Rhinolophus ferrumequinum: one gene and its partner. The protein of the gene in region 2 interacts with the protein of the main gene of each other region in a biochemical or structural test. Links are inferred from orthologs where the notes say so. Each region holds a gene or a part of one and is shown on either strand. Other genes may lie near its edges.

What was found.
Region 1: the proteins of SH3RF1 (region 2) and AKT2 form a complex in vitro, tested with the Homo sapiens proteins (2 studies listed by BioGRID and IntAct, with this or other methods). The link is inferred for Rhinolophus ferrumequinum from reciprocal best matches to the Homo sapiens genes SH3RF1 and AKT2.

The regions. Positions count from the first base shown.
Region 1 is NC_046298.1:39,021,839-39,036,697, forward strand, and holds the start of AKT2 (RAC-beta serine/threonine-protein kinase), read right to left. Parts: upstream 7,760-14,859; 5' UTR 7,549-7,759; intron 1-7,548. UniProt on the Homo sapiens protein: Serine/threonine kinase closely related to AKT1 and AKT3. All 3 enzymes, AKT1, AKT2 and AKT3, are collectively known as AKT kinase.
Region 2 is NC_046301.1:36,020,268-36,035,707, reverse strand, and holds the start of SH3RF1 (E3 ubiquitin-protein ligase SH3RF1), read right to left. Parts: upstream 6,414-15,440; 5' UTR 6,269-6,413; intron 4,747-6,268; 5' UTR 4,653-4,746; coding exon 4,260-4,652; intron 1-4,259. UniProt on the Homo sapiens protein: Has E3 ubiquitin-protein ligase activity. In the absence of an external substrate, it can catalyze self-ubiquitination. Stimulates ubiquitination of potassium channel KCNJ1, enhancing it's dynamin-dependent and clathrin-independent endocytosis.

The DNA of each region.
Region 1 (14,859 bases), on a different chromosome or scaffold from region 2:
ATTCATGACATGCCTCTATTAAGTTTCTGAAAATATCACCTAAATGAAAATACACAGCTAAAAAAAGTAGACGACTCGCAGACACTACCCCAAAACACATGCTCACACCTGCCGCCGCCACCCCCCAGGTCTTTGAACACTAGTTTTGAGAAGCCCAGCCTAAGGGAGCCCAGCCCTGTCTGCCAGACCTGGGCCCTGCCACCTTCCTCTTGCCCCTGCTGCAGCCACTGTTCCCACCTCAGGGCCTTTCCCGCGCTGTACCCGTGTGGCCCACTGCTTCCAACATTCACATTCACGGCCTCATGTCTCACCTCGGGAGCCTTCCCCAAGCCCCCCTCCCACCAAGGCCAGATCTCCGTTCCCTTTCTCAACCACACCAAGTGCTATTTCTCTGCCTCCTCCACTAAGACTGCATGCCACTCGCCGGTGTCCAGAACTACACATGGCACGTAGCAGGTACCCAATAAATTACTTGGTCAAAGAATGGAATACGCAAATGACCAAAAAGAGCCAAGGCTGACTGCAGAGGCCCGCTGGGAATCAGACCCCAAGGCACGGGGCAGGGGAGTGCCTCCCACGCTCTTCCCTTCCCCTGGCTCTGGGGAAGGAAGGGGCGGCCAAGGCCAGAGCTCCACAGGCATTAGGCAACGGAGAGAGACAGCCCATCTCCCAAGCGGGCATCAAATGAAGCTAATCGTGTCATTTCTGGGACAAGTGAGGCCTACTTTGTGCCAGCTGGGTCTAGAAGAGAAAGCAGAAAGATCCTTAACATAACAGTAACGACCTCAGAAACAATGGCCGTGACATTGGTCGGAGGCAGAAAAGCCAGCCTTAAAAAGCCAGACTCAACCCCAGATAGAAATGAGTTCAAATTTCACGTGTCATGAACCAACACTTCGGGCAAATCCAGTTTCCTCCCTGGGCCTTCACGTCCTCCCCGGTGAAATGAGGAGATTAGCTGTGCCAGGCTCCCAGGTTACGCTGAGGATTGGCGCGAGCACCCCGTAAAACCCCGGGGCAGTGCCTGGCACAGAGAGGCCACTCTGCGGGCTCTCAGTAACAACGCGGACTTCCTGTGTAGCTTTCTGCACCTCAGTTTCCTACCTGCAAAATGGGGGTGACTACTATCCACCACACAGGCTGCTGCGTGTCTGAGCTAACACACACGAAGTGCTCAGAGCCATGTCTGGCCAAGCCGGGTCTCACTGATGGATGTGATCAATGTTTCTGACTGGAGCCCTCCCCAGTGGGAACCTCAGTTAATTGGCCTGCCACCCCCTCCCAAGGCTCCAAACCCAAACCTGCTCTGCCAACCAGCAAGCCCAGGCTGGCTGCATCCAGAACCCCTTCTCTGCTCTCAGGTGCCCAGCCTGACGACCTCTAGCAGCAGCGGCAGCAGCAGCTTGGATCCTTTGAGCACCTTCTCAAAAGGCCCCACACCAAGCACTCTCTAACACATTATTAGTTCCCGGATACCTCTCTACAGCCCCACTCAGCAGGGATGTTCCCATTTCAGCTGAGCAAAATACACCTGAGAGATGAAATAAGGTCCCCAGGGTTTCCCAGCAACCAAGGCAGGAGCCAGGAGCAGGGTTCACACCCAGGCTGGCTGCCCACCTCCCACCCGGGCCCGGACCACTTCGCAAAGACCCACCAGATGAAGATGACCTAAAACCAGGCTAGGAAGGTCTGGGGAGAGGGGCAAGGTCTGGGGCAGCCGCCCCAGTCCATTGGGAAAGGGCCCACGAGGTGGCAAACCAAGACAGGCTTGGATTTCTGGCCTCACCCTTAGAAACAACATCTGTGGACGAGCTTCCTGGGCAGAACAGCGAGACTCCAGGAACTTCCTGCGGGGACCTCTGACATGTAGTCTCCCCTCAGCCAGCCCCGGCTTGCTGTCCCTTGCCTCAAGAACGCAGCGCAGCTGGGCCCTGCTGTGGGTGCCGAGCTGGCAGTGGGTCCTGCCCCCAAGGGGGCCAGGCTGAGATCCCACCCCGCAGCCCTCCCACACCGACTCCTCCACTCCCTCCCTCCTGGTGCTGCTCCCAGGGCTGTCTCCCCCAGCTGGGCCTCTCACTGCTTGGCTGGTTGTCCAGAAGAGCCTGCCACGGAACCACCCCACCGTGCAGCCCAGAGGCCTGCTGGTTGAGAGCCTTCTACTGAGAGTTCTTGGGAACGCGAAGAGAGGCCCAGAGAGGGGTGTCCCTGGATCCCCAAGAGGTTTGGAGATCAACTGCAAAGGACACTCTTTCCATCCTCCCAATCCAAGGAAATTCTGGGGACCCCAGGAGGTTTGCTCTGAGGGGCTCCAGTCCTTCCTGGAGGACACCCCAAACGGGCCTGGGAGAATCAACAGCCAGGCTCCTGCTCACTGCGCTAAACCTTAGGTTTGAGGCTCAGGTGTGCGATTAGAAGCTACCCTCACCCAGGGTTCTAAGTGCCTTCGTGGGCTGGGGGACTCTGGAGCCAAACTGCCCGAATTCAGAGCTTGGTCCCAACACTGCCAGTTTGTGGGACCCAACACAAGTTACCAAGGCTTTCCAGGCCTGTTCGCACCACTGCCAGGTGGGAATCGGAGCTGATTCCTCTTCCGTCTGCAGGGTCTTCACTCAAGTCCTCCCGGCGCTCCTTCACTGCACTCCAGTCTCTACCTACACGTTGCCTCCTCCGGGAGGCCCTCCCTGATCATCCCAGCTAAAACATACTAATATCCCCACACTCTTTCTCCTGATCCCCATTCTCTTTGCTTTCATAACATTGATCTTGACTTGATGTCCCATCATAGGCTTGTTTACTGGGTAACTGTCTCCACTAGAAGGTAGGCCCACAGGCCTAGTCTTCTAAATTCTAGAGCAGTGCCAAGAATGGCATAGGCCCTCAGGCACAGAAGCTGAGCGGAAGGCAGATTCAGCAAGTGTTTTGTTTTGTTTTGAATCGGGTATTACTATTACTACCGTTCTGCATTGTTACTTGATGTTAGCCCAGCTATTTGGGTTGGGGAGAGTAGGAAGCAAATCAGCCCACTGACCCCTCCCCCCATCTGTCCCTAAAGGGAACAGCCATGAGCCCTGGGGAACACGGTGTGAAAACCACAGGAGGGAGGCGACCATCAGGCTTTCACAGTTTATAAGGCAGAGATTCTACTCAAGAGGGAAGTGGCAGGCCTGTGAAACTCCCTGACCATCTCTAAAACCTACCCCCACCCCAGGCCTGAGAACCTCTCTTATGGAAAAAGGCACCTGCTAAAACCCTAAAACTGACCCAAGTTGCTCCTTAGGCCGGACTGCAAGGCTCTGAGTAGCCCAGCCCTCGGCCACCCCCACCCCCACACCCTCTCCCTTACCCTGTCCTTGCACCTCACCAAGCTCTGTCCTCCCTGTGACTTTTGTACTGTGCCCCCCCACACACCCCAAGGCTGTTTGTTCTCCTGTCTCCTTGTCAATGCGGGATCAGCTCAAAGGCCTTCCTGACAGCGGCCCAGCTAAAGCAGCACCAGTCACACCTGATTTTAATTCACTGCCTGGCCCCTCCCTTTCACTGGCCCCTCTTTTAGTAAACCAGTTGAGGGTTTGTCCCCCTCAGCTCCACGGGGGTGGGTCCTTTGTCAAGTGCACCCTGTATCTCCAGCACCTGAAGCAATGCCAGGCATGCAGTAGGTGCTCAACAAATGGTGGTGGATGAACGAAAACCTTTCCTCGGCTCTGCAATGGCTTTGGGATCAAATCGAAGCTTCTTGACCAGGCCCACCAGGCTCTGCACAGCCTGGCCCGACTCCATGAGCACTTACTTCTCCAACGCTCCCTGCCCACCCTTCCGCCTCAAGCCTTCAAAAGGGCTGTCCCTCACCTGGGTCAAGGCCATTCCCACTACTCCTGGGGACTGTGATGGAGATACAGTAAACACATGTATGGGAGGAGGGCTTAGCAGAGGCTGACATCTGGAAAGGAGCTGGACTTTTGACCTCTGAGGGGCTCCGGGCAGCAAATGTGTGGGAGACTGAGAAGACCTGGGTGCTGCATTTGCCAGTTTTTCTTTGGATTATACATCCCTCCCACTCCTAACCCTCATCTGGAAAATGGAGATGCTAACTTCAGCCCTGCCCTCCTCATGGTGTTACCTGTCAAGGCTCTGTAACCTGGAAAGGGCCTTCAAAATCCCAGCAGGATGTGAATCACAATTGCTAACATGTCCTAGGGCTTACCACACGTTGGGCACTCTTCTTAAATGTAGTGAGAGCAAGAAACGTTTACTGGAGGCTTACTGTTATGCCTGCCCAGTTATAAATGTTTTTCACAAATGAGCCCATTTAACCTTCACAATAACCGATCAAGGGAGAATTATCATCATTCTATGACACAGATGACGAACTGGGCTCAGAAGGGTTGAGGAACCTGCTCAAGGTCACACAGCCAGTAAGTGGAAGGGATGGATTTGAACCCCGTGCTCTGAATCACTTCAACACAGTTCTTCATGGAGATTAGATACCAGGACACCAGATTCCTGAATCCTAGCTGGGCCAGGCTGGGTGGCTGGATAGCAGGACACCCAAGAGGACTAAGGGTAAGGGGTAGGGAAGGGTGGATGCCCTTGGGACTGCTGACTGGGCATTTACACACTGCCAGCCACCATTCGAGGAGCTTCTCATGAATTAACTCAATCCTCACAACAGCCCAATGTGGGTACTGTTCTGAGCCCACTGCACAGAGATGAACACTATGGCCCAACGTCACACAGCCAGGACGTGAAAACACAAGAACTTGCAGGCGTGCCCACTACACCATCCTTGTGCAGGGACTTCTACCACAGGTCCCCTGGTAGCTGTGTCACCCTCTGCATATCGCTCTTACTGTCTTCTTTTGGCTCCCCACACACACTCTGCCCCGGGTTCAAAGATGCCCTGGCCCAACTCAGGATAGACCAGATTTCATCAGCAAGCCCAGAAATGCTGGGCTGGCTGCCGGCAGACATGCTCACAGCAGTCCTAGGCTCTGGGGACGAGAACAAAATGCCCATAGGTGCAGCTGGCAAGGTCCAAGGCAGGGGCTTTGAGGTGACAGAGACCCACTCCAGCTTGGGACTCAGTGAGCAAGGAGTACATGACACCAGAGACAAGTTAACATGCATTCAAACCCCAGGCTGGCCCTCTAGGTCTGGTAAACCTAGGAAAAGGCAATTCCTATTCTGAGCCTCAATTTCTGGCTCTGCAAAATGGACAGAAACACCATATCCACCTCTGGGTGCAAAGAAATCACCTACTTGTTGACAAGAGGTACAACTTTGAGGTCCAACGGTGACAGGGGTTCACAGCTTTATCACTTCTTGCTGTGAGACCTGGGGCAAGTCATTTCACTTCACAGCAAGTGTCAGTTTCTGCATCTGTAAAATGGGTATCACACTTCTCTCTGCCTCATAGGGGTCTCCAAAAGGGGCACAGCCATACCCACCCCATAGGGCTGTTTTGAGATTTAAATGAGGTCTTGTATGTAAAAGGCCTGTCACGTGCCTGACATATGGTAAATGTTCAATAAAAACTGGCTATTCACTAGCTCTGGAAATGATTTGCCTCTGTGTGCCTCAGTTTCCCCTTCTAAAACAGAACATCATAATAGTACCTATGGTTCTAGGATGTATTCAGCAACTTAATCCACGTGAAGCATTCTGAACAGCACACAGAATGCATTCAATAAATGTCAGCCATCCATCTCACAATTGTTTTTATTGCTGCTGTTAACCCCATCAGGCAAACCCTCTAAAACTGGCAGGAGACCAGAAAAACAAACCCTTAGTGGAGAAAAACTGTAGAGCCACCATGGCCTCACAGAGACTCAGGGACCTTTTTCTCCAGGAACCACAACTCACAGGAGCCAGTCAGCGTGGAAGCTGACGCTGTGGACCAGAAGCGACCATCTGTCCCCTTTGACCACATCATCAGCCCATGTTAGTTGGGTCAATCGGGGACCGCAGCCAGCCCTCTGGGGACTCCAGACCCAAGGCAAAGGTTACTGGGCAAGCCAAGGTCATAAGCTGGCCTGGAGAACAAGGACAGTGGCCTCACGTCTGGGGCTGGCTGCTCCAAGCATCCACCCAAAGGCCAGATCTGTGGGGAATCTGGCTGTCCCAAATCCTTCAGAGCAGTTTTCCTCCCTGGGTCCCCTTGGCCTATGCAAAGAGGAACAGCTGGGAAAACAGTGCTTAGCCTCATTGCCGACTAATGGTGAGGCCAACTGTTATCGCCTGATGGGGAGCGTAAACATGATGGGCAGCTGGACCGCTAACCCAGAGAGACAAGCAGCCTCAAGGAGAACAGAGGGGCCTGCGGTGGGTGGTGCCTGGCCCCTTCACACTCACCACCAACCAAGGGCAGGCCCGCAGGCCTGACTTAACTCCCCATGCTTCTCTGGGAGGGGAAGAGGAACAAGGTTGAATGGCAGCCCATGGAGGACCTCATTACTCCAGTCTAGACCCCTTGCTGAGTCCAAGCAGCCTCCAAATCAGAGGAAGGGGATCCTCAGAATCCCAAGGATCAAGATGTCCCCAGCCACCTTGTCATAGGAGAGAGGTGTCCCTCCAAACGCCCCTTCCTCCCAAGTCTTAAGCAGGACCGGGAGCGCACACAGCTCCTTAAATCCAAGCTCAATAACCCTTCCCTTCCCTAAATGGAGGAAAGCTCAAAACACCACAAACATTGGCTTCTAAGACATCTCACCCTCCCCAAGGAAAGAAACACTTGCCACAGAGGTGTCACACACATCTTAAAATAAGGCGTAATAACATGAAAGGGTGCTGGGGTAAACAGCAGTCCAGTGTCCGCCCAGTTCCCCTCAAAGTCACTAAGTTCAATAAAGGGTGATCCTCCCTTCAGCTAAGTGTAAACCCCAAGCCCCACCCACCAAACTTAGGAGGCAGAAGCCCCTCCTCGTCACTTGCATTACAGCCCTCCCAAAATACTCCCCTGAACACCCACGTGGGCCTGTCCCGTCCCTCAAAAATTATAAACTTCACAGCCCTCCTCCTTTGATGTAGCGTTCTCTACGTTCTAAGGATGGCTCCCCCCAGTGGCATAACCCAGGCGGCACTACCCCGGCCATACTTGGTACAGCTCCCTCCCCAGAAGCCCCCACCTCGCTCAACGAATTACAGGGACTGCTCCCACAGCCCCAAATAGGTACAGCCCCGTACACTTGGTAAGGTGCGCCCTCTCAAGGGTTCAGCGCTCGCCCACCAGGCGCGCTCTCCCTTCACACCCCGTGGGTTCAGCCCGCCCCACGCACATGCTGGGGTCCGCGCCCCCAGCCCTTCAGTGGTACGGTCCTCGCACTTTGGTAGCCCCTCGCCGCTTCAGTGGTACGGCCCGCCGCCCCCGGCCCCTCAGGGTTAGAACTACCACCCCCGCGCAGCCACCCCCACTCAGTCCCGGAAGGGGGGGTTCGAGGACCGCGGTCCCCGCCCGGCCGGCACTGGTGGTACGGCCCAGCGCGGCACTGCGGGGGGTCCGGACGCGACCACCGCGGGGGGGGGCCGCTCGGGGACACGCGCTGGCGCACTCACCTGTCACCGGCGGCCGCCCAGCCTCTCCGGCGGGGCTCTACTCCCGCCCATCGCCACGCTGCGCTTGGTCCCGCTCCTGTGTTTCCTGGCTGCAGTGGCAGCGGCGGCGGCAGCGGCGGCGGCAACGGCAGCAGCGGCGGCGGCAACGCCTTCTCGGAGCCAGACCCAACGGCTCGCGCGGCGCGGCCCCCCCGCCCCCTCCCCCCAGCCCCCGCTTACCGCCCCCTCCCACCCTCTGGCCGGAAATACCGCCTTCTCCTGCCACAAACAGGAACTGACGTAAAAGCGAGAGTTGGACTCGGAGAGCGCTAGAGCGCAAGCGCAAGGAAGGGGCGAAGGCGGACTCAGAGCAGGGCGCCTGCGTACAATAGACAAGTTTGGCCGTTGTTGGTTAGGGATGGGCCTCGCGCAGGCGCCGGACGGAAAGAAGAGCTAGGAGTGAGCAGGCGCACTAGGACCCTGACTGACGCCCGCTTTCCCTAGAGGCTGGTCGCAGTGATGTTTCCCGGCAGCCCCTGGTCCTTATTTACATACGCTTTGATGTCGTTTTTCCCGGGTCTGGCTTTTCCTCCCAGGTTCCGAAAGCCCGTGAAGAACCCTGGACCTGGAGTCAGCAGGGGTTGCCATTTCAATATGTTCCTCATGGTTGAGCTCAGCCTCTGAAACCACACAAAGCCAGCTTTGCATTTTCTTCCTCGTGACTGGGCAGAAGGCTCCACCGTTTTTTCTGTGCCTCAGTATCCACATCTGCAAAATGGAAACGATCATACCTGCGTCACTGGGCGATTGGACTATTTTATGTAAACAGAACAGCTTATGGCAATTAGACATCCTCTGACTGCAAAATATTCGTATCTGTTTATCGTATATATGCAATTAAATATGGGATATAACTTTTTTATGGGGTAACTTGGGCCTACAAAGGCCTTAAAATCACCCAAGAAAAATTTTGCACACATCCTGGCCCAATTTATTAGCTGGTGTACTAACCAGCTGGGAAACATCTGGCTCCCAGTCCCTTCTCTCCAAAGGGTTGGGTGGGGCTCGTTAGCTTATGAATTTGGGTCCCAGTATGCCACACGGCTTGGCAAGTATGTATTGGTTAGTGCATACTTTTTCTAGAAGGCCTGGCTGGGAGTTGAAGAATCCTGGGTCCACCTAAGTCTTTGAGAGAGTGTCTGGCAGGTGCTGCTCGGCGGTGGGCCTTAGTTTCCCCATACGTGAACCTAATGCTGGAACTAGCCCTTAGCTAATGAATGGGTTTCCAGCTTGAAACTTGCTGCCCTGTATTTCTAATTCATCGTCTTGCCCCATCACAGTGTTGATAACTCTGTCTATTGCCTCCCCTACCACAGCCCTGACCATATTAGAGCCTCAGTGTCTGGTGACAGGTCTGTCTCCTTTGCTGCACAGAGAGCCCCGAGAAGGAAAAGACCAGGACTGTCTCCGTCATCACTGCGTATCTAGCTGCCCAGCAAAGGCTTGGCACAGAGTGGGCCCTTGGGGAATATTTGTTTCACCCTTCTGCTCTAATCTAGACTCAAGGTTACTGTGGCCTACCCTCTTCTTTCCTCTCCATGCTGAACAGCTCACAGCCTATCCCTACCTCAGGTCTTCCTGGTGACTGGAATCCCTGCCCCTCCTAAGGTAAAGGATAGAGTATCTCACTGAAACCTCCCATATGCTTGTGTAGAAACTCCCTGGGACACTAGTAATGGCTTTCAAACTATTTTAAGGCCTGGTACACACATATGGGTACTTATAGTATAATGAAACAAGTGTTATGAAATTCTATTTACTCTTACGTATGATGCACTCTAACATTTAATTTTTTCAGTGCTGTTTGAGACCCGGCTGAATTGATTTTCTGACCCATTAATGGGTCATGCCTTGCAGTTTGAAAAACACTAGTCTGGGGGGGTGAACAGCTCTCACTGGCTTTGGAGATGGACAAGCCCTAGTTCTAATCATGCCTTTCCTGTGTCATCAAAATAACTTCACTTCTCTGAGCCTGCTTTTCCTCGTTGCAAAATATCAATCGAATTTATTTAGCAATTGTTAAGAGGCCGGGTTCTTTTAACACCGTCCCACCAACGCTGTCAACACCCTCTGGGAGGTTAGTGCAGCAGTATTTGTCCCAGAACAAGTTAGGGGTAGAGGTAGGATTTGAACCCTGGCAGTCTCATACAAGAGCCTGTTCTTTGAACTCATACCATGCAGGAAAGTATTGGCCCTATTTTTGTCCAGTGTTGCTTCAGCAAACCACTTAATTATCTTTTGGGGGCCTCAGTCTCTCAATTTCCACATCAAGGGTGATTGAGGAGAAAATTCCCTAAAACCCCAAATTGTTCTCTACCCTCTAATCTGTTCTGTGAACTCCCCGCCCATAACTATAAATATGGGCTGCCTGTGCATTTTTCTGGGGAGAAGGGCCGGTAGCTTATCATGTCTGCTCAAATGCCTCGATTCAGAAAAAGTGATTTAAGAATCCAGCCCTGAGGGACGGAGAGGGCATCTCCTCAAAGCCCCCTTCTGTCCCCAGGTAGCAGACGTCAGCCCCTGGAGCCCATTTCAACCCTTCTCACAGAGATTGGGTTCCCAGTGGTGACTGGACAAGCTGCATGGACCAGCTTTTAGGATTCCCAAATGGGGAGGCTTCTACTCCTTCCCACAAGGGCTGAGGGTCTATCCCAGATAGTGGTGGCGGTGGCCATGGGGGCAGGGGCACCTCCTTGCCACATGGGCAATTAGGAAATGAAAGCAGAGGGAATCAGAATTCTCCCTTTCTTCATCCTAAGCAGAGTGTTTTCAGGGGAGAAAGTCCACAGCATTAATCCGATTCTCAAAGAAGTCTGACACCATTTTTTAAAAGTTTTTATTTCAAAGGGTTTCCCACATTATACAGAAATGTTGAAATAATGTTTCTGACTCCCCAGCCAGAAGTTACTAAACCCCACCCTAGATGCTACTGTGTTGGGAAGATCCTTTTAGAGTCATTTTAAGTGTCTGGCAGAAGTACAGATGAACCTCAAGGATTCTATAAATGTTAGTTCCAATTTTCTTTTTATGAAATTTGTTTCTTTCAAAAGTTGAAATAGAAGACACCATGCCTATTCAATATTTTAACATGTAGGAGATTCCCAAAATGTTTCCGTGGTCGTGCTAGGCTACTGCACTTTGGGGCAGACTTTGAAATGAAGCTTTTTCTCCCCTCGGTAAAATTGAACACCTTGTTGATCTGCTCGGAACACACAGATGGCTTCCCACCCACATGGAATAAACGCTAAAAGCCTCACCCTGGCCTTCAGGGCCCTATGTGAGCTGGCCCTGCCGATCTTTCGAACTTCATCTCAAGCTACTCTCGCCCTTGACCACCATGTGCTAGACACACTAAGCTCTTTTCTGCCTCTCCAGAAAGACAAGCTGTCCCCACCTCGGGGCCTTTGTATTTGCTGTTCCTTGTGCCTGAGCTATTCACCCCAATCCTGATCTTTGCATGACTGGCTCCTTCTTGTCTTTCGGAACTCAGTTCAAATCTCACCTCTTTAGAGACTTTCCCTGACCATCCCACATCCGAAAGAGCTAGGCTGTCACTATCTCTTTAGCATATCCGAATCCCCTACCTAGCACTTAACACTAAAGAATATTTTTGTAGTTTATTTTGTAACTGTCTTCCCCAAACCAGAATATAAATTTTCCCATGAGGGCAAAGACCTTGTCTTGGGCACCACTGTTTCCCCAGCCCCTAAGAACAATGTCTGCCACATAGTTGGGGCTTGGGGAATGAATAAATATTTGTTGACTGATTGTGGTTTTGATTAGGCAGGTGAAAGCTCTGTACTGAGGTGAATTTTACTTCAGGTCTGAACTTGTCTACTTAGAAGTCTCCGTAAGGCCTATTTTGCAGAAGTAAACAGAGGCCCAGAGAGGGGAAGTCTCTTGCCAAACATCACACAGCCAGAATATTGCGGCACCCGGATGCATTCCCAAGGACGTCTCAGGCCAACCTCACACTTTTACCTACTGCACTGGACTTCACCGGTGCGGGTCCAGATTTGAGATAGCAAAATATCGTATTATGCTAAGTTAAAGTATGTGGATTTGAAACAGCAACATACTTAAAACATAGTTTCCCACATTATGAAGAAAAAGAGATAATATGACTATCACTCCATTTTTTTTTTTAGGTCATCAAGAAGGGCATCAATCACTTCACAGTTGCCCAATGATGTGATTTATAAACGCTATTCAAGCTATTGCCACAAGGTGGCGCCACACGCGCTGGCCATCCTCGCTGGAACCCTGCTGACCAGCAGGCATCAAGATTCCCGCAGCAAGCTGGGGGGCTTTTGTGTGGTTACTTAAAAGGAACTGACACGACTCCTAAAAGCAACACATGGTCCGGAATTGGGTTCTGAGCCGGGGGCGAAATGGCAATAAGGAACATTACTGAGACAATGAAACTGAGGGTTAGATAAGAATATTGTAACCATGTTAAATTTCTTGGTTTTTATAGTTGTACTGTACTCATGAAAGAGAATGTTTTTGTTCTTCGGAAATACACACTGAAGTATTCCATGGTAAAGGGGCATCATGTTCTCCAACTTAACTCTCAAATGGTTCAAAACCACAACCTATGTGTATATATGCTTATAGAGGGGGAGGGGAAAGCAGGGAATGGTAAGAAAAATGAGCAAACAATTGGCAGATGTGGACAAATCGTAGACAGGAAACCCTCGTATTATTCTTGCTACTTTTCTATAAGTTTATAATTATATAAAAATAAAGAGTTACCCAAAAAGCGCTTTTTTGTAGCCTATGAGAATGTCATTAAAGGGTTCTTTAGGTGGTGGTACTAATTAATGCTGGTGCTGAATATCTTCCCTGAAAATCATCAATTGCAGAGATAATGTTAGATAACAACACTGTGCCAGGCACTGTTTGAATTGACTCATTTGATCCTCATCGTCATCCTGTGAGGTAGGTGCTACTATTACTCCCATCTCAGTGAAAAGGAAACTGAAGCACAGAGAGGTGAGTCACTTGCCCAAGATCACACAGAGACAGAGCTCAAGCTCTTAATCATAACAGACCATCAAGAAGGCCAAACGATCGCCAAGACATGCAATGCTGGTCACTTAGGAGCAAGAACAGTACTAAATATGAGGGGGCAGAAAGGCACCGTTAGGGGAAAATTTTGGAAGAATGAATGTAGGTTTATGTGCTCTGAACACCTGCCTCAACCTGACATGGAGTCTATGCAAAAGTCAGTCTTGAATTATGCAAAAGTTTAACCAAAACAAAATAGGAAAATAAAGTGGCCACCGACTCCGATGTGGTTGAACCTGCTAAACGTTAACACTGGAGGAAGAATTAGAATGTTCTTCAAACAACTCTGATTATTCTCAATATTTACTTTTAAATACACAAGTGGCATAAATTTAAACTTATAAAACACAGGTACATTCCCTTTGCCCTAGGTATTTACCCTGTGGATATGTTCACACGTGAGCAAAATGTCACATACGCAAGAGGCACTGTGTGTGACAGAAAAAGACTTGGAAACCACCTAAGTGTCCACAATAAGGGACTGGTTCAATACATCAAGGTACATCCACACAAGGGAACACTATGCAGTTACTTTAAAAGGAAGCTTTTTCCAACAAGCACATTAAAAGATGTTAACATCATTAGCTATCAGGGAAATGCAAATCAAAACCAAAATAATATCATTTACACCTGCTAGGATGGCAATAATCTAAAAGGCAGACAATGTGTTGGCGAGGATATAGAGAAATCAGAACCCTCACGCACTGCTAGTGGGAATGTAAAACGGGGCAGCCACTTTGGAAAACAGTCCAGCAGTTCCTCAAATCGTTAAAAATAGAAGTAACATATGACCCAACAATTCGACTCCTAAGTATATACCCAAGAAAATTGAAAACATATGTCCACACAAAAACTTGTTCACGAATGTTCATGGAGGCATTATTTGTAATAGCCCAAAAGTGGAACCAACCCAATGTCCACCAACTAAATAAACAAAATGTGACATATCCATACAATGCAATATTCATCAAAAAAAATTAATGAAGTATTGACACATGCTACAACATGCATGAACCTTGAAAACATGCTAAGTGACAGAAATCAGACACAAAAGGCCTCTCATATTGTATGATTTTGTCTATATGAAATGTCCAGAAGAGGCAAATCTAGAAACAGTACATTCGTGGTTGCCAGGGGTTGGCGAGGGAGGCAGAGTATGGGAAGACTTGGGGAATGATGGCTAAGGGGTGTGGGGTTTCTTTTCAGGGTAATGAAAATATTCTAAAAAGTGGTGATGGACTAACAACAACTCTGTGAATAACTACAAGCCATTGAATTGTGCACTTTAACTGGGTGTATTGTGTGATATGTGAATTAGATCTCAATAAAGTGGGGTTTTGTTAACACTTTTTAAGTGGCTGACACTGACATTCCTACAGCAGTGTACATACTCACATTACTCCAAATCTTCCACAACATTGAAACTTTAAATTTTTTGCCAGTCTACTGGGCACAGAACAGTCTTAATTGTACATATCCCTTTGTGTTTTTGAATTTTGTACTGTGTGCATGAGTTAATCCCAAATAAACACTTTTCAGATTACATTTTTTTAAAAAGGAGGTGTTGCCCCAGTAGCAACCAGCACATCTCCTACCGAGATCTTGGTTCCTAATACCACTCTACAGTAGTAGGAACCAGACTCCTTGGAAAAATGGCTGATTCTAGGACCAGGGCAGGAAATATACAAGATGAGCCCGGAGTATCTGTAGTGCCAGAAAGTAAGGATGTACCAAAAACAAAACAAAACAAACAAACAAAAATCGACTATGCAATAATGGAGCTACATCAAAGGGACACAGGAGCCAACTGAAAGAGTGCCCAATGGCCAAAGCTGGAATAATGTGAACTAAATAAATAAAGCAGCATTGGATTATAACCCAAATATAAATAAATATCCATGAGTCCATACTGATTTAAAAAAATGATTAAGTTAATAAATAGAAGAGACCAATCTCCCTCACAGAAGAATTCCAAGTCATTTGTGTGGGTATTTTGCCCTTAAGGAGTTAGAGCACGAGCCCCCGACTCCTTGCGTGTGGGCTGCTCCGAGTGATTTCCTTTCAAAGAACCCAGTATGGAAAGAGAAAGAAGAGCAACTTTACAGTGGAGAAACCTGACAAATAGTAGGTGATCAAGGTTAACATAAACAGTGATAAATCATGTTGACAATATGTACCCTAGATATTTAACAAAATGGCACT
Region 2 (15,440 bases):
ATTCTGAGATACTGGGGCACAGAGTTTTAGGGGACACAATTGAGCACATAACAGTCAGCAATAGGGAGAGAACGGAGGGGTGAGTATGGCTCTGGAGAAACTGAAGCATGCTCGGCATTTGCAGGAGAAAAGGAATTTCACCTGTGTTCCCCCACATCCATATCCCCTACCTTTCCTCTCCGTGCCTCAGTCCTTCGACCCCTAACTCCAATTTCATTTCTGTTCTGAAGGCTTGTTGATCATCTCAGTCCCAATGATCTGTCTTTCTATCCCTCAAATACAGAGCACTTACTAGCTGCGTGTACGTCCATCTGGCCCTCACCCCATGTGGCCTGCGGTGGCTCGTAATGCCTTGCACATGACTGCACGGGAGGCCTCATCTTAGGTCACTACCCCTGTCCCTTGCTTAGTTCACACTCACCTTCCGTCGGTTCTTCCTAGAAGTTATGTCCCGTCCGCTGTAGGTCAGGGCCTTTGAAATAATCTTCCCCTCCTGCCCTCCCACCGCCCAGCACCCTCTCAACTAATCATTTCACTCTTAAGATCTCAGCTCAAATGCCTCTTCTTCAAGGATGCTTTTGAAGACCACACACACACACACACACACACACACACAACTTACCCTCACAATCCACACGGAGCCTTCTCCTGTCCTCTCCCCTAACTCTCTATGCTAACACTTATCATGTTTAATCACCTACCTGCATTGTTATTATGTTAATGTGTCTCTCCCAGGAAACTGACACATACTCATAAATTCATAAGCAGAATCTGTATTTGGTTTGTCCATCATTACCTAGCCAGTAGCCAGAGCAGTGCCTGCCACCTATAAGTGCTCGATAAATATGTGTTAGACAACGGAAAGAATAAATGAAGAGTAAATTAGTGTAAACCAGCGGTCATGTGATGCATTTTTGCTGAATAAACTCACTTTGAGGTAGAGGCAATGTGAAATCATTAAGTAATAATACCTAGACAGATGCATGCACAGATACAGATCTTGAATCAACGGAATCACATATAGAAAGCAGAAATTTAACTATTCTGTCATAATTCTATAGGAATTACTTAAACATCTTTTCCATATCTCATTCTGCATATATATATATGTGTGTGTATATATATGTGTGTGTGTGTGTGTATATATATATACATATATATATCTGCACTTATATGTGTGTGTGTGTGTGTGTGTGTGTGTAATTTATCTTCTGCAGGTATTTTTCAGTCCATTAAACAGATATCTGCAGCCATCCTCTCCCTGTGACTCATTCTACTGCTTGACTTTGGCTTAAAACCAACAACAGGGCCGGCCCGGTGGCTCAGGTGGTTGGAGCGCCGTGCTCCTAACGCCAAGATCGCCAGTTCAATTCCCACATGGGCCATTGACTGCGCCCTCTGCAGCTAAGATTGTCAACAATGGCTCTCCTTGGAGCTGGGCTGCCATGAGCAGCCAGAGGTCGGCGTGAGCTGCCCTAGGCTGCCGCGGGCTGCTGTGCTGCTGTGGGCTACTGTGTGCTGCCACGAACAGCCGGTGGCCAGCGTGAGCAGCCGGCCAGCGGCGGGGGGAGCGCAAGGCTCATAATACCAGCATGGGTCAGGGAGTTGTGTCCTACACTAGACTGAAAAACAATGGCTTGAACCGAAGTGGGGGTGCAGGAGAGGCAGAAGAAGGGGAGAAAAAAAAAAAACAATAATTTTTTACTTGGGGTAAAGAACTGACAGATTCCCATGGTGACTCCAATCCGACACTTTTTCATTTTCTCCTTCATGTTAGGCAGGAAACACTAAAATTCTGGGAACAAGATGTGTGTCACACATTGGAAATGTTCATATCTGCTGATAACACTCCATCTACCTCGGCTAAACACATGAGGAAGCCACATGGTCACAATCTAACGGAACACAGAACATAACTAATAAACTGAAGCAACATTCCACATGTTATCACTTTCAGCTTTGCGCAACATGTGGAAACAGGCTCAGGCACCACTTGGTCATGTCAGAACATCTAACGGAGGAGGATGCAGGTTGGGGATTTATTATGGTCATTCACCTCAGGGAAGTGTCCGAAGGAGTACATTACAACCTCCACATGTCTGTACATTACAGATTTCTTACTTTTAAAGGAGTATTTTCTGAGATGTATTTACCTTTCAGATGCTTGGACTATTAGTGTTGCCCTGGCTGTTTTGAATACTTGAAAACAAAAGGTACTAGGTAACTGCTCATGAGAAATTGAGACTAAGGAAAAAAAACAAAACACTCCTTTTTATAAGTATTGCAGCATTTGCATCAACTCAGATAACTGAAAAGCTTTGCTTCATCCTCCACTCCCTGTGCCCCCACCAAAGTAACACATATTTATTATCTCCTGTTTTATCCACCTCAACTATTTTATCCAAGTTATAAGGCTCAAGTTCAGTTGGGCTTCCTGGTGGGTAATTTTTCTCATGCTAAAGAAGAAACATGAAATAAAGTAGGAAAAATCATATAAGCCAGAAAAAAAAAATACATCATCAAAATCTCACAATAGTTTACCTAAAAAGTGAAACTCAATTTTGGGAGCTTAGTAGTTCAAGTGAATCAACATCAGTCATTACATAGTCAATTTGCGTTAGAAAGAAAATGTTAAGTTGAATGCTTGAGGCTTGAGCCCTCTTGTTAAATTCCTTTTTATCAGTAATCAAACCTTCAATGAATTCCTCACAACAGGAAGGCCACTCAACCACTAAGATACTTCTCTTCATAACCTAGGGCTATGCCTTCCCTAGTCTAATTAACAAGGAAACAAAATCTCTCCAAAGAAGCAAATCTACTACCTAGTTAAGCAAACCTGGGTCAGGTGTCTCAGAAATGATCAACCTGATCACGCGTTCTGAGGTTAAAAATATTCATGAGTCCATATCCACTCATCAAGGTACAGGTAAAATCTATAAAATAAAGGAAATCTAAGAAAACTACTATAAGCAGAACAATTTTACCTGTGGGCTTCAAATATGGAAAGAAAACCTTCCTAACCCAATGTCATCACTATCTTAAAAAAATAAACAATTAAATGTGAATCAAAAGAAATATGATAGCCTAGTGATGAAACTGTTTTCTATTGATTAAAGCACTTCACACACTTTATATCTACTGATGTACATACATCATTTTAAAAGATGAGTTGAGAGGGAAGTAAGTTGAGAGACTACAGCGGTCTGATAGTCACATCTGTGAATTTATCCTATCTAGTATCACCCCAGTGGGTTGTTCCTCCGTTAAATGAAAGAAGTGAGATTTGAGTGTTTATTATAAAGATTTGAAAAAAATATTCTCATCCAGGTTAACTGTTCTTCAAAAATAGACTTTATTTGTTTGGCCAATTATCAAAACTGTTTCCTCCAACAATGGAGTCGTTTTAATTATCTGATGCCCATCTCTACTTTTTATTTTTACAAAGATGAGAAAAGCATGTTTTATTGGCATGCCATTACCCACAATATAAATTTAGATTTATTCAGAATACCTTACCTTCTAGAAATTTAAATTGTGGTAACTGTCCAAATTTTCATTTTCACTTAATGTTATTTCAGCCCAAACCCAAACCCAAGAAAAATCATTGTGATGGAACATTTCATTTCACTCCCTGTAAATGTAAAACCCAACATAAAACTAGATTATCTGCTGTTTTAGCATAGTCCTAAATGACGTTTCGTTGCTATAGCAACAAAACTCTGCTACCTGTGGCCATGATTTGTTAAGAATTCCTCCAACCAGTAAATTCTGTGCTGTGGATTCATAAGACCAATAGAATGGCTCTAAGCAACATAAACGTTAAGGCTTGATTTCCTACTCATGATTTACCCACACACATATTTATAATATGTATACATATATGTACACATACATGCATAATTATGGCTCTCCCAACTCCATTAACAAAGTAAAACCATAACAAGTTTCCATTTTAAAATGTGCACAAAAAACTGCTGTGCTTTAGATTTCATTGAATAATCACTACCTGTTTCCCAAAATTTATCTTAAAAGGTAATAGAGACTACCTGGAGAACATTTTTAAAAACAAGAAAATGTATTATGTATATCCAATCTCATTCCAACAGGGGAAAAAAAATATCCTGAAGCACAATTTCCTATCTGTCATAGTGAGGCTTCTTTAGCAATGAGCTGATTTAGAAAACATCGAGCTAAAGAATAAAGAAAAAAATGTGGTCATCGCCACTGTTATGCACCAAACTACTTCTGCAGCTACTCACCCTCACTGGGGGGCTCCAGGCTTGCACCCGCGGCTGCTGTCCACCCTGGGAGCTCTGCAGATCTTTTGAGCTACAGTTAGCCACATTGCTGCTCTGAGCCCTCAAAGCATTTGTGCAGTTCGTTCCACTGCCTCCACCAGGGCCAGGTTTCCAAGGCCTCTGCTTGATGCCATCCAGAAGTCTGACCAGCAGGATGTTACTTGGGAGCTCCTCAACACCCGAGCCAACAAGAGTTCTGCACTCGGGACATCTGAGTTCATTTCGGGAACCTACGATCCCCAGCAAACATCGTTTGCAAAACGTATGCTGACAAGGCAAGACTTTTGCAGAAGCATCAAGCCGCTCTAGACACACAGGACACTCCAGAAGATCCAACAAGGCAGATTCATCCATGTTTAACGAGTTTGCTAAGGAAAAGCTTCAGCAATGTTCATAGTTGTATGCAGCCTTTAAAGTAATTCATGTAACATCCATTTCAGACTTTGCTCTGGAGTCACAAGGTGGGGGCAGGGGGAGAGAAAAGATGGAAAATTAGTATTGTTATCTGGGGACAAGGTTCACAGTAGAGCCAAGAACCAAAAAGTACACAGAAGTGCTTCCTCTGAATAGTTTAGCTTTGCTTTGGAATGTAGTTCCTGAACTCCAAAGTCAACAATTAAAAACAAAATAGGCTTTTTCAACAATTCAAAATTAATCCTTAGCCATAGCTAGGAGTTAGTTCACTGTGCAGACATACGTATCCAGCACTATACAGGACTCCTGCAATAAATACGATTTATGAAATGTAATAAAGAACATAATTTCTTCAGCTCTCAAAGTGACATTAGCTGCCTTAATAAAGTCCTCAACTTATGAGGAGCTGAACAGAAGCAACTGAAAGTTTCCTCCACCTGAATTTACTTCTAAATCCAACAAAATTCCCAATTTATAAAACACTTTATAGTTTAAGAAACCAAGCCTCATGTGATCACTTTGTGGTAAATGATCCCAATATTAAATACATATGTTTCTTCACTGGCCTTAAAAATAGAACTGTTTAATCTTGTCCAACCAAAATGAGTTGAAGGTTGTGACAATTTTAAAGGACACGACTACAGATTGGCTTGAAAGCAGCTAAAATATAAAAGGGCCCTTCAGGACAGTGGTTGACAAACTCTGAAATGGATTTCTGAACAGCTTGCCCTAATCCCATTCAGAAAATCTGGCAAAATTACCACCAAAAGAATTTGACAATGGAATGCTGGACTGAAAACTGTGGGCATAATATGAAAATTCAGGAAAAAGCCTTAAACCAGTGACTGCGCCGCTCTCCCACCACCATCAAAAGAAACGTAAATGTGAATGCCTAGGAGGAAGGGGGTGAAAGATTCTGATGGGAGCGTTAACAGCTGTTCTTGATAAGAGTCGGGGCAGGGGGGTGGGGGGCTCTCTGCCACGCAGCCCAGCACAGGTACTTCTGACCCGCAGGGAGGCGCGGCGGCCACGCGCCGCAGATACACCTCGAAGCCAGGTGTCGCCGGCACCCGGCAGGGGAAGGGTCCCGGGCAGGGGCTGTGGCCCGGACGGTGCCCGAATGGGAATCTCATTCAACAGCCTCATCGCAACTTCCCTTTGGGTCAGGCCGGGCACAAAATCTCTCCGCTGGAAGTTCTCAAGGACTTAAAAATAAATTCGCAGCCTTGAGTTGCGAAAGTGAGCCCCACAAAGTGCCACCGGGAACCAGCGATCACCCCGCAGAGAGGACGTGGGAGTCCCAGAGACGCAGCCAGCGGAGAGCGGGGGGAGCGGGGCTGCGCCGTGAGAGCGCGGCACGGAGCCCGGGCAGCTTCCTGCCGGGAGGAGGCAGCGAGGCCGCGGGCTCCGCTCCCGCAGGTCCCGGCTCCGGGCCCACAGGGACCCGAGGGTGGGGGACAGAGAGCCTGACCAGCGCGGAGGGAAGGAGAAGGGGACGCCCTGACCACCGCCTTCTCCACCGAGAGGCTGTGCCCGCGCCGGTCCCCGCGCCCTACCTCGCGCCTCGGCTCCTCCTCTTTGTTCGCGGCCCCGCAGCGGTGGAGGCAACCGATGCGGATGCGGCCCCGCGGCGATCGCCGCTCACAGTGTGTCTGACGCGGCGGCGGCCCCGGAGACTCCTCTCTACCGCCCCCCTCACGCGCGCACACACACGCCGCCGCCACCTCCCACTTTCCCAGCCAAGGAGGGCGGAGGAAGAGGAGGAGGAGGAGGAGGAGGAGGCCGAGCCGCAGCCGGCGCCCGGGGCGCGAGGGGCCGCCCCGGACCACAGCGCCTCCCCCCGGATCGGGCGCCGCACCTCGCGGAACCGCGCGGCGATCGCGCCTTCCTCTCGGCGCTGAGGTACCTGCGCGCGGGACCCCCGCCCGGGCGCGCAAGGGGTCGGGGGACCAAGGGGGCGCTGGGAGAGCCGATTGTCCGCGAAGCGGGGTCCCCAGGGGGCGGCGAGGAGGAAGGCTTAGGGGCGCACGCCTCCCTCGGAGGAAAACACGCCTGCAAAGTGATGCCACCGGAGGGGAGGGCGTTGGGATTGGCGGCTGAGTGAAGGAGGAAGGGACCGTGGGGCAGGGGTCGGCCGCGTCCTTCTCCGGCCCGGCGGGGCGCGGCGGCCCGGGACCGACGGCGCGGGGCGGGGCTGGGTCCCGGGAAAGGGCGGGAGCAGCCCTGGCGGGAACTGATCCCACGCTGATCTGCATCGGGTTGCCCAGCCCTGGAGAGACACTGGGTAGAATAAGGGCCAAGTGTTGGAACCCCTTAGGTCCGAGGGAGGCATGTTGAATTAGTAGAGGTCGGTCCCAGGGTCGCTGTCCACCCGCCGATTCCCGGGGCCACCGCCGCCCCGCATCGTTCCCCCTTCTGCCTGCACCCAGGCACCACCCTGCCTCCCCCGGGACGCACCCCCGCAGCAAGCTGAGAATTGTTGACCCAGAAACTCAGAATGGGAAGGGAGACGGGCTGGAAAAAACAGTCGTGTGGATTTGAAACCCACCCTTGGGAGGCCCCGTTCTACCTTCCCTACGTGGGGAAAATTCAAAGTGTGACCTCAGGTGAGCTGGCACGTAAAGCTAGCTGAGAGGCGCCTCTTTCATCTGAGCCTGGGAGGCAGCCATAACCACTGTAATCTTTGTTTTGGTTGCCCCAGGCACACACCTGTAAACTCTGAAATGCAGTTTTGAAAAACATGCCCTCCACAGGTTTTGAGGTTTATTTTTCAGACTCAATTCAGAGGGAAAACAAGTTGAAATTTTGTCGTTGATCTCAAAGTTGTCATTATTTTTTTTGCATTTACCGTCAGCTTAACAAAAAGTTATCCCAGATACCCTTCCTAGGTGTGCAGAAACTAGGCGAAAATAAGGAGAGAATGGTTACAGATACTGTGGAAGAAAGCTCTACCTGGCTGTCGACCATGCTGCCATTTTTATAGGGAGTCAGATTATTCTCTAGTTTCCAGCCAGGGCCACAACTAAACCATTCAACACAAATGAGAATAACCAAAATAAGAACAAAAAATTATAACAGCTAACAATTATTATTCACTCTATGCCAGTCACTTTGCTAAACATTTCACATGCATTAATTCAATCCTCATGCAACCCTGTACGTCATTCCTTCTTAGCTTTGTTCTAAATAGATTAATATGCTGAGAATCATACTCTATGAATACCAGAAATAAGAACCCTCTTCCCCCTCCATTAAAAGTGAGCAAATACACATGCATTTTTACTGAGCATGACGAGAAAAAAATGAACAGAATAGAGAATTTTTAATCCAATAATTTATAAACAAGGCACTCTGTAAGTGACTACTTAGCTCCATATTTGTGCTTCTGGAATCGTTCAGACCAAGGTGAGGCTGACTAGAAGGTTACAGCCAGTAAACAGATAAACATTATATGCAGTTAACAGTTATTAAAACTGAAGCTCCAATAGGTTCACTTCACCCCCAGATCACACAATAAGGAATTTTGAACCAAGACTCAACCTCATGTCTCTGGATTCCAAGTCCAGTTTTCTTTTCACCGTTCCAAGGACCTCTCTTTTGCACATCACCTCAGGCAAAATTGAGTGCACTGGGTCTCCCCACAAGGGAAAGACTACTATTAATCATGTATTACTCTGGAGAGTAAGGGACAATTTTTGTTTTTTTTGTTTGTTTGTTCATATTTAGAGACAACATTAACACAAGGTCATGGGGTGGGATGGTGCAACTCTTGAAACTCTAGGCAAGAAAATCAGTAGTTATACCCATTATCAAAGAACTGAAGACAACGTGTCCAAGTTTGCAGAGATCAAAGAAGATGGCACACACATCCCATGAATATTATCTGGTTCTTTGAATGTCCTTGGTGCTAGTTTACTATATTTTTTAGAACACAACTCTTTCATTAGCCTTAATTACTCCAGCTGTAAAATGAGGTTTTAGGCAAATTAACTTCTTGAGCCATCTTCCCTCTGTCATATGGTGAAAAAATAATACCTTTCTTAGAGTGTTGTTGGAGGATTCCAGAAGACAACGTGCTGGTTCCCTATAATCTGCACATCTCTATTAAAGAAGATACCATCATTATCATTATCTCCCAAGAATTACCCAGGCTGAGTTACTGGGCAAAACCCTTTTTTTTCCCAGGGTCTTAAACGTCTGAAACAACACTAATAATTGCAAAATCCTGTTAAGAGAATAAAGTGAAGGGACATTTGGGGAAACAGAAGTATGTTCATCTTGCCATTTCTGAGCACTGAACATGAAGGAAAGAATGTGTGATACACTTATGGCCCCTGTGACTTTGAGTAGATATATGAATAATATAAACACACCCTGTACATAATGATGATAGCTTGGATTTACACGGTTTTTATCCTCCCAAGACTTCAAAGAACTTGCATATATGTTATCTCATTTATCTTCTCAGCATCCTTCTGAAGCAGCAAAGACAGATATAATCATTCCCCTGTTGTAGATGGGAAAAAATGAGGTGTGGAGAAGTTATTCCTCTTAGTGATGATGTTATGACACAAGTCGGGCTTTTGAATTCCCAGTCCAGAGTACTCTTTGGTAAGCTTTCGTATCATGCTTAGACACGCATATACACACATGTGTCTGGTCATCATTTTCCTTCGAACCTAATTACTCCTCCAGCTATCATGATACTGGTAAATAGCACTATTTACCCAGTTGTTTAAACTAGAAATGTAGGTCATCTTCAATTTCTCCTTTTTCCTCTCCATCCCTCTTCATCAACAATTCTCCCAGCTACCCCAAAATATATATTTCAATTTCTACCCACTTCTCTTTGCCTTCACTGTATCTTTATTTAAACCACCATCACTCTTTGCCTCTGGCCCTCCTAACCAGCTTTTCTTCTATGCCTATTATCACAATCTTGCCCTGACTGTAGTGACATTCAGAGGGAGCTAGAAAAAAAATGTATAACAGATCATGTAACTCCCTTGCTCAAAACTCATCCATTTCTTCCCATCACACTTGGAATCAAATGGCTTGCACATCTTACAAGACCCTATATCACCTGGACCCTGCACCATCATGTTCCACCATGGCACTCCATTTATCTTTATAGTACTTTTCACAGCCTAATGTTGTATTCCTTCTATTTTGCCTATCTTCCTTACCTGAATATAAGATCCCTCAAGGCACGGACTGGTCTTCCTCTTCGCCATGGTATCCTTGACAGCCAACCCATATTGGGCACTGGAGAATAATTTTCAAATAAGGAATTATATTTATTGCCATCCTAACACTACATACACACGGAGTACTTCATTGCCCTGCAGACAATGTTCCCAGTTACCTTGACAGTCTTCCTTATAATCTATCAATCGATACATTTTCATGTAGAAGATGAGGACATACAATTCTTCCTCTTACATTTCATAGTGAAGCTGGAAAAACAACTAAATGCGGCTATGTATCACAGAACATAAATGCGATGCCAGTTTGTCTTCATTTCTAGGTTTTAGTTAATGGTGTCAGCATGTACTTCATTCCCCAAGCAAGAAAATGCAGTTATCTTCAATTCCTTCTACGCCCACGCCCACCTCCCATCCAGAGATCATCAGAAGTGCTGCTTAAATCCGCCCCTTCCTCCCAATCCTTATTTCAGGCCTGCTTAGCTACTCCTTGGACTATAACTACTGTCCCTGCTTCCAGTCTCTCCGGGGCTGGAAGAGAGATTCTGGAGAGAGCCTTGGAGTCAAAGGCTCCTCCATCTATCACTGCGTGACCATCACGCAAGTTTCTAATCTTCTGTGCCTGCGTTTTCCCTGTCAAATGCACATAGTACCACTACCTACCTCAGGGTTTCTGTGGCGATTTTACGTAAGTTTATAAAAATAGAATGCTTGGCACTATGCCCAACACATGGTAAGTGCTTAATAAATGAAAATTATTATTTTTATTAGAATCTAGGTTCAATACTGGATCTACTACCTGTTAACTGAATGACTTTACAAATATCTCTAATTTTCTGAGTTTCAACTTCCTTGTATACACAAATGGATATAATGTTATCCACTTTGAAAGCTCATTGTAAAAAATTAATGTCAAAACTCATTGAAAAATATAGCACGGCACCTTTCTGGCACATAGTAGGGACTCAATCAAATGTTTATTTCCTGCCTCCTTTTCTATGTATCTGTCTGCATCTGTTTCTATATAATTAGAGAGTGGATTGGATTGGCACCTCTAAGATTCTTTCCAGCATTAAAACTTTTTAGCCCATCCTAATTGCAGAAAGGACACCCAAGGGCAATGGAATCCCCTTGGAAAAAGCCAAGTGGTCTTGAAGTGCCATAGTTGTCAGGGAGTGGGGCTCTTAGCAGTTGGAGTCAGGCAAGCCCAGAGAAGCTATTTTGGTCTGTAGTAGTGGGAAGGTGGTGTGAACTCCACTGTCTGGCAAAACAAAATCTGAGCAGATGGAATATTTATAGGCATTCCCCTAGGATTTCAGCTCAATCAGAATGGATGCTAGGGAGAAAGACTGATGAGTGGGAGGTAACTGAACTGCATCTTCCTCCAGCCTTCTTAAAACAGGTCTGAACATTTGAATTTTTTGACAGTGGAATGCCTGGGGAGAGCTGGAGTTCTCTAAACTGACCAAATCCAACTCAGCCTTCAGGGAGTGGTTCTTGAGGTTTAAGTGCAGTCAGAATCACCTGCAAAGCTCCTTAAAAATGCAGACACCCTGGCCTCCTCTCTAGAGATTCTCACTTAGTAGGTCTAGCCTGGGTTCAAGAATCAAATGATTATAAAATAGGTGCTGCTGGGACTATAACTTGAGAAACGCTAACCTAGAATCACCCAGAGGCACATTAAAAGGGAGATACCCCAGGTGCTGTCCAGGGAAGCTAATCAATAGGGGCTTTGGTTTTGTTGAGAAGGATATGGGAGCTTGGCACCATGGGAGGTTTGCTGGGGGCAACAGGAGAGCCATTGAGTGTTGCCACCTCCATTCATTCCAGTCTGCCCTGCCCCCCTTCCCTGCCCACACCAACATGCAGTGCTCAGCTTCTCCTCTTAAAAAATGCTGGATAGATTTGTAAAGAATATCAGTTTAAAAAGGGAGCCGAGATTTAGCCTGTCCAGAGAAATACACATGGCTGGCTGGCCGACCCCACGTTACTCCCAGACCCTAAAAGTGGATCAGGGTCACCCAATCAAGCCTCAGAAAGTCCAGTCGCTTAGTGCTGTTAAACGTCAATGAAAACATGCCCGAAACTAGGCACACCTAATAAATTTCTCACCCAAGTTCAAAGATAAATTTAACCTATCTGAGGAAAATATAATAGGATTTCTTTCTTTCTATTAAAAATATTTTTATCAAATTCCATTATCATTTTAAAAGTTTAAACCTTGAAGTGGTCTTTTTCTCCTAAGCAAACTTTACCTAACCCAAACTATTAGAGAGTAGGTAAACATCCTTTGCTTTTGCTTTATCTAACCATCTTCAGGAAATGAAATTCCATAATCTTTCTTGGTAACTCATCTTTATATATTAAAGATTGTTTATCAATTTTCAGACTTCCCTTTTTTCTGATCAAATTAAAGAGAAAGGTTGACTTTTCTAATGCATTTAAAGAGGTCAGCTTAAACATACACACAGAAAACATGAATTCTCTGGAGGCTCATGATCCAGGTTTTTATTTTTTCGTTATAATTATATTACAATATAATCATATTACAGTATAGAAGATAATGTTTTTAATCATCTCACTCAAAGTAATCTCTTTGTAACTCAAATGAAGCGCTACAGAGGTTTTTGTTGTTGTTTTTCAATAGGAAACCAAGATAGTATCTGTCCAGTTGACATTCCTTCTCTTTGACAAGACTGTGGAAGACTAAAGATTAAGATAATTTCCGTGTTTTCCGTGATGCTTTTATGCAAAAGTGATGATTTACATAATTTCTTTTCAGTCTCAATTGAATTTCTGAAGCTATTTTTCAAGCAAACTTCCACATGTCTCCAGTGTGCACCATCTGTCTCATCTCTCTCTCTTTTTTTTTAAGTATTACAATTATCTCGTAACAGGAGCTGTCAAATCTTTATTCCCCAAGGATTCTTTCTTTTGATAAATGAAAAGGAATTGTATATATTGTTATGTGTAGCTGTATGAATGTGACGGGAGGTTAAAGAAAGGTTAGATGTTCAAAGCAGTTATGGCTGAGTTGACATATTGGAGGAAATGTGATCAGGTAAGATGGCTAGTATTTAAATCAGATTCTTTGCTCCAGGAAAATGAAGGGATGTTTAGTCAAAAGGTCTGGAGCTCTGACAGCAAAGTGGAATTTGCAATAGACTTGCTAAGGGTGCTGTGGCCCATACTACAAGCATTAGAGAAAATATGAAGAAAAAGGATGACCTTACTCACAGGCTGCAAATTGCTTGTAAAGTCGGTTGGCATTTGCAAATGGTTGATGTTTTTACTGAGGGAATCAAGTTTTATGTTTATATAGTAAGGGTATACTCAGCAGGAACTTCCAGGAAATCACATGGGTTGCCAAGAAAAAGTCCATATTGAAGTATTATTTAAAAAAATATCCTGGCAAAAACATTTAAAAGGCTTTTTAAAAAAATAAATAAATAAAGTTTGCAAGGAAATGCAAGAGAGAGAATTTATGTAGTACTCAGAATTTACAACCAATATATTTTATACCATTGCATAAAAATTTTATTTGCAACTCAATTTTAATCAATTTGTAGAGCTCTAATGACTGAAATCTAGTAAGAAGTACAAAGTACAGTTAAAGCTTCAGCTATCCAGAATCCTAGAAGAATGGGTCACTGGAAAACCAACTTTTATTTGGATGAAAATGTTTGAGATGCAGTATAAGTTTCTCTGATTTTTGAAATAAAAGACACAAAAAGTTAACATTTTCAGATGACTTCAGGCCATCATTGTAAATATCAGTTAGTGTATAAACAGAATGCTTAAGGCTGTGGAGTCATACAGACTTGGGTTTGAGTCCTGGTTCTGAGAATTTTTACTTACATGACTTTAAGAATGTTATTGAACCTCTGTCAGACTCAGTTTCATCATCTATAAAATGAAGATAATGGTATCTACCTCATCGGTTGTTGTGAAGCTTAAAAGAGATAATAACCTTTTAAAAGAGAGTGCTTAGTAGATTTACACAGCACCCAGGAAGAACTCCGTAAAGCTGAACTAATCTTAGTATTACCATCACTGTTGATATTGACATCATTATTTCACACTGAGGAATTTAGGAGCCCTTTTCTCTTAATAACTTCAGAATTCTATGTTTTAATCTCTTGATAATGATGATCTTTCTTCCATTTCTATTGGCACCAGAAGCTACCCAAACCTTTAAATGATGAGGGTTTGGAACTTGCCAAGAGGAAGAGTAGGTGAGGCCCCAACCCAACTACACCTTGTTGTCAGCACTTTTACCTCCCTGAGACAAGCTCCAGACCCATCTCCCACTGACGTGATCCTTACCGTAAGAACTTGACCCTAAGTCTTCTCACATTCTTGGCCTGCAGTGTCCTCTGATGTTTGACTCTCATGTTTGGAATCCTCCTCTCCTCTCTTCACCCACTCTTAATAAATAGTCATCACCTGTGGGTTTCATCTCAAACGTTTGTGGAACTCCACTATCAACACTTAGTCCTGAGCGTGTTAGTCACTTGTCCTACTTCCGACTGCTGGTTCTCTCAGATCCCAGCCTTCTTGGATGGTGCTTGGCCGCAGATCTACAGACTGTTATTTCTCACTACCTGCCCACACCATCATGCAGTGCTCAGCTTCTGCATGGAGGGAAGGGAAGGGCACTGGATGGAAGGGGAGAGGATGGAAGCTGAAGGAAGGGAAGGGAAGGGAAAGGAAAGGAAAGGAAGGGAAGGGAAGGGAAGGAAAAAGAAAAGGAAGGGAAGGGAAGGGAAAGGAAAGGAAGGAGAAAGTGAAATGAGAAAGGGGAAGGGAAAGGAAAGAGCTCTTTATGATTTCTTTTTCTATATTCAAATATGTCAGTCTTTTTATTTATAACATCTACATTTTTTCTGCCTTACTTGAAAGATGTCCTGAAATCCTAAAATCCTAGATTATAGTCCCCTAATTGTTTTTTTTCATTTGTTTTGTTTTGTTTCACATTTAAGTCTTTAATCGTCTAGAATTTATTTTTTATTATGGCGTAAGAGTCACCGTTTCATTCCAAATGGATGGCCAGTTGTGCGGCATCACTCACCTTCAATTGACAAAAGAGAAAACTACAAGTTCAAAAGTAGGATTGAAGACCATCACCCAGGCAGATGTTGCCAACCTATGGGCACGCCGAGGAGCACTCGTTTCCATCACCTCCCACCGAAAACCAAGTGAAGTAAGCTTTAAGAAATGTACTTGTGGGAGTGGGCATTTGATCGGAAAGGAAGCCGGCATTTCTGTTCCTGGCTGTGGGACCAGGGCAGAGCGCAGAAGGGTGATTAGGAGAGCCTGACCTGTATCTCGTGAAATGTGAGGGTCCCTTCATAGAGCTACAGCTGGTCTGACTCCTTGAGGAGTCTCGAGGAAGCAGGTGGACTGGAGCAGTCGCTACAAGGCGGGGAGGGAGGGCTGCAATGGAATAAGGTGTATTTCCAGCATCAGACAGCAAAAGCATGCTTCCTTTTTTTTTTCCCCCATCGTACCATTAAGTAGCAGG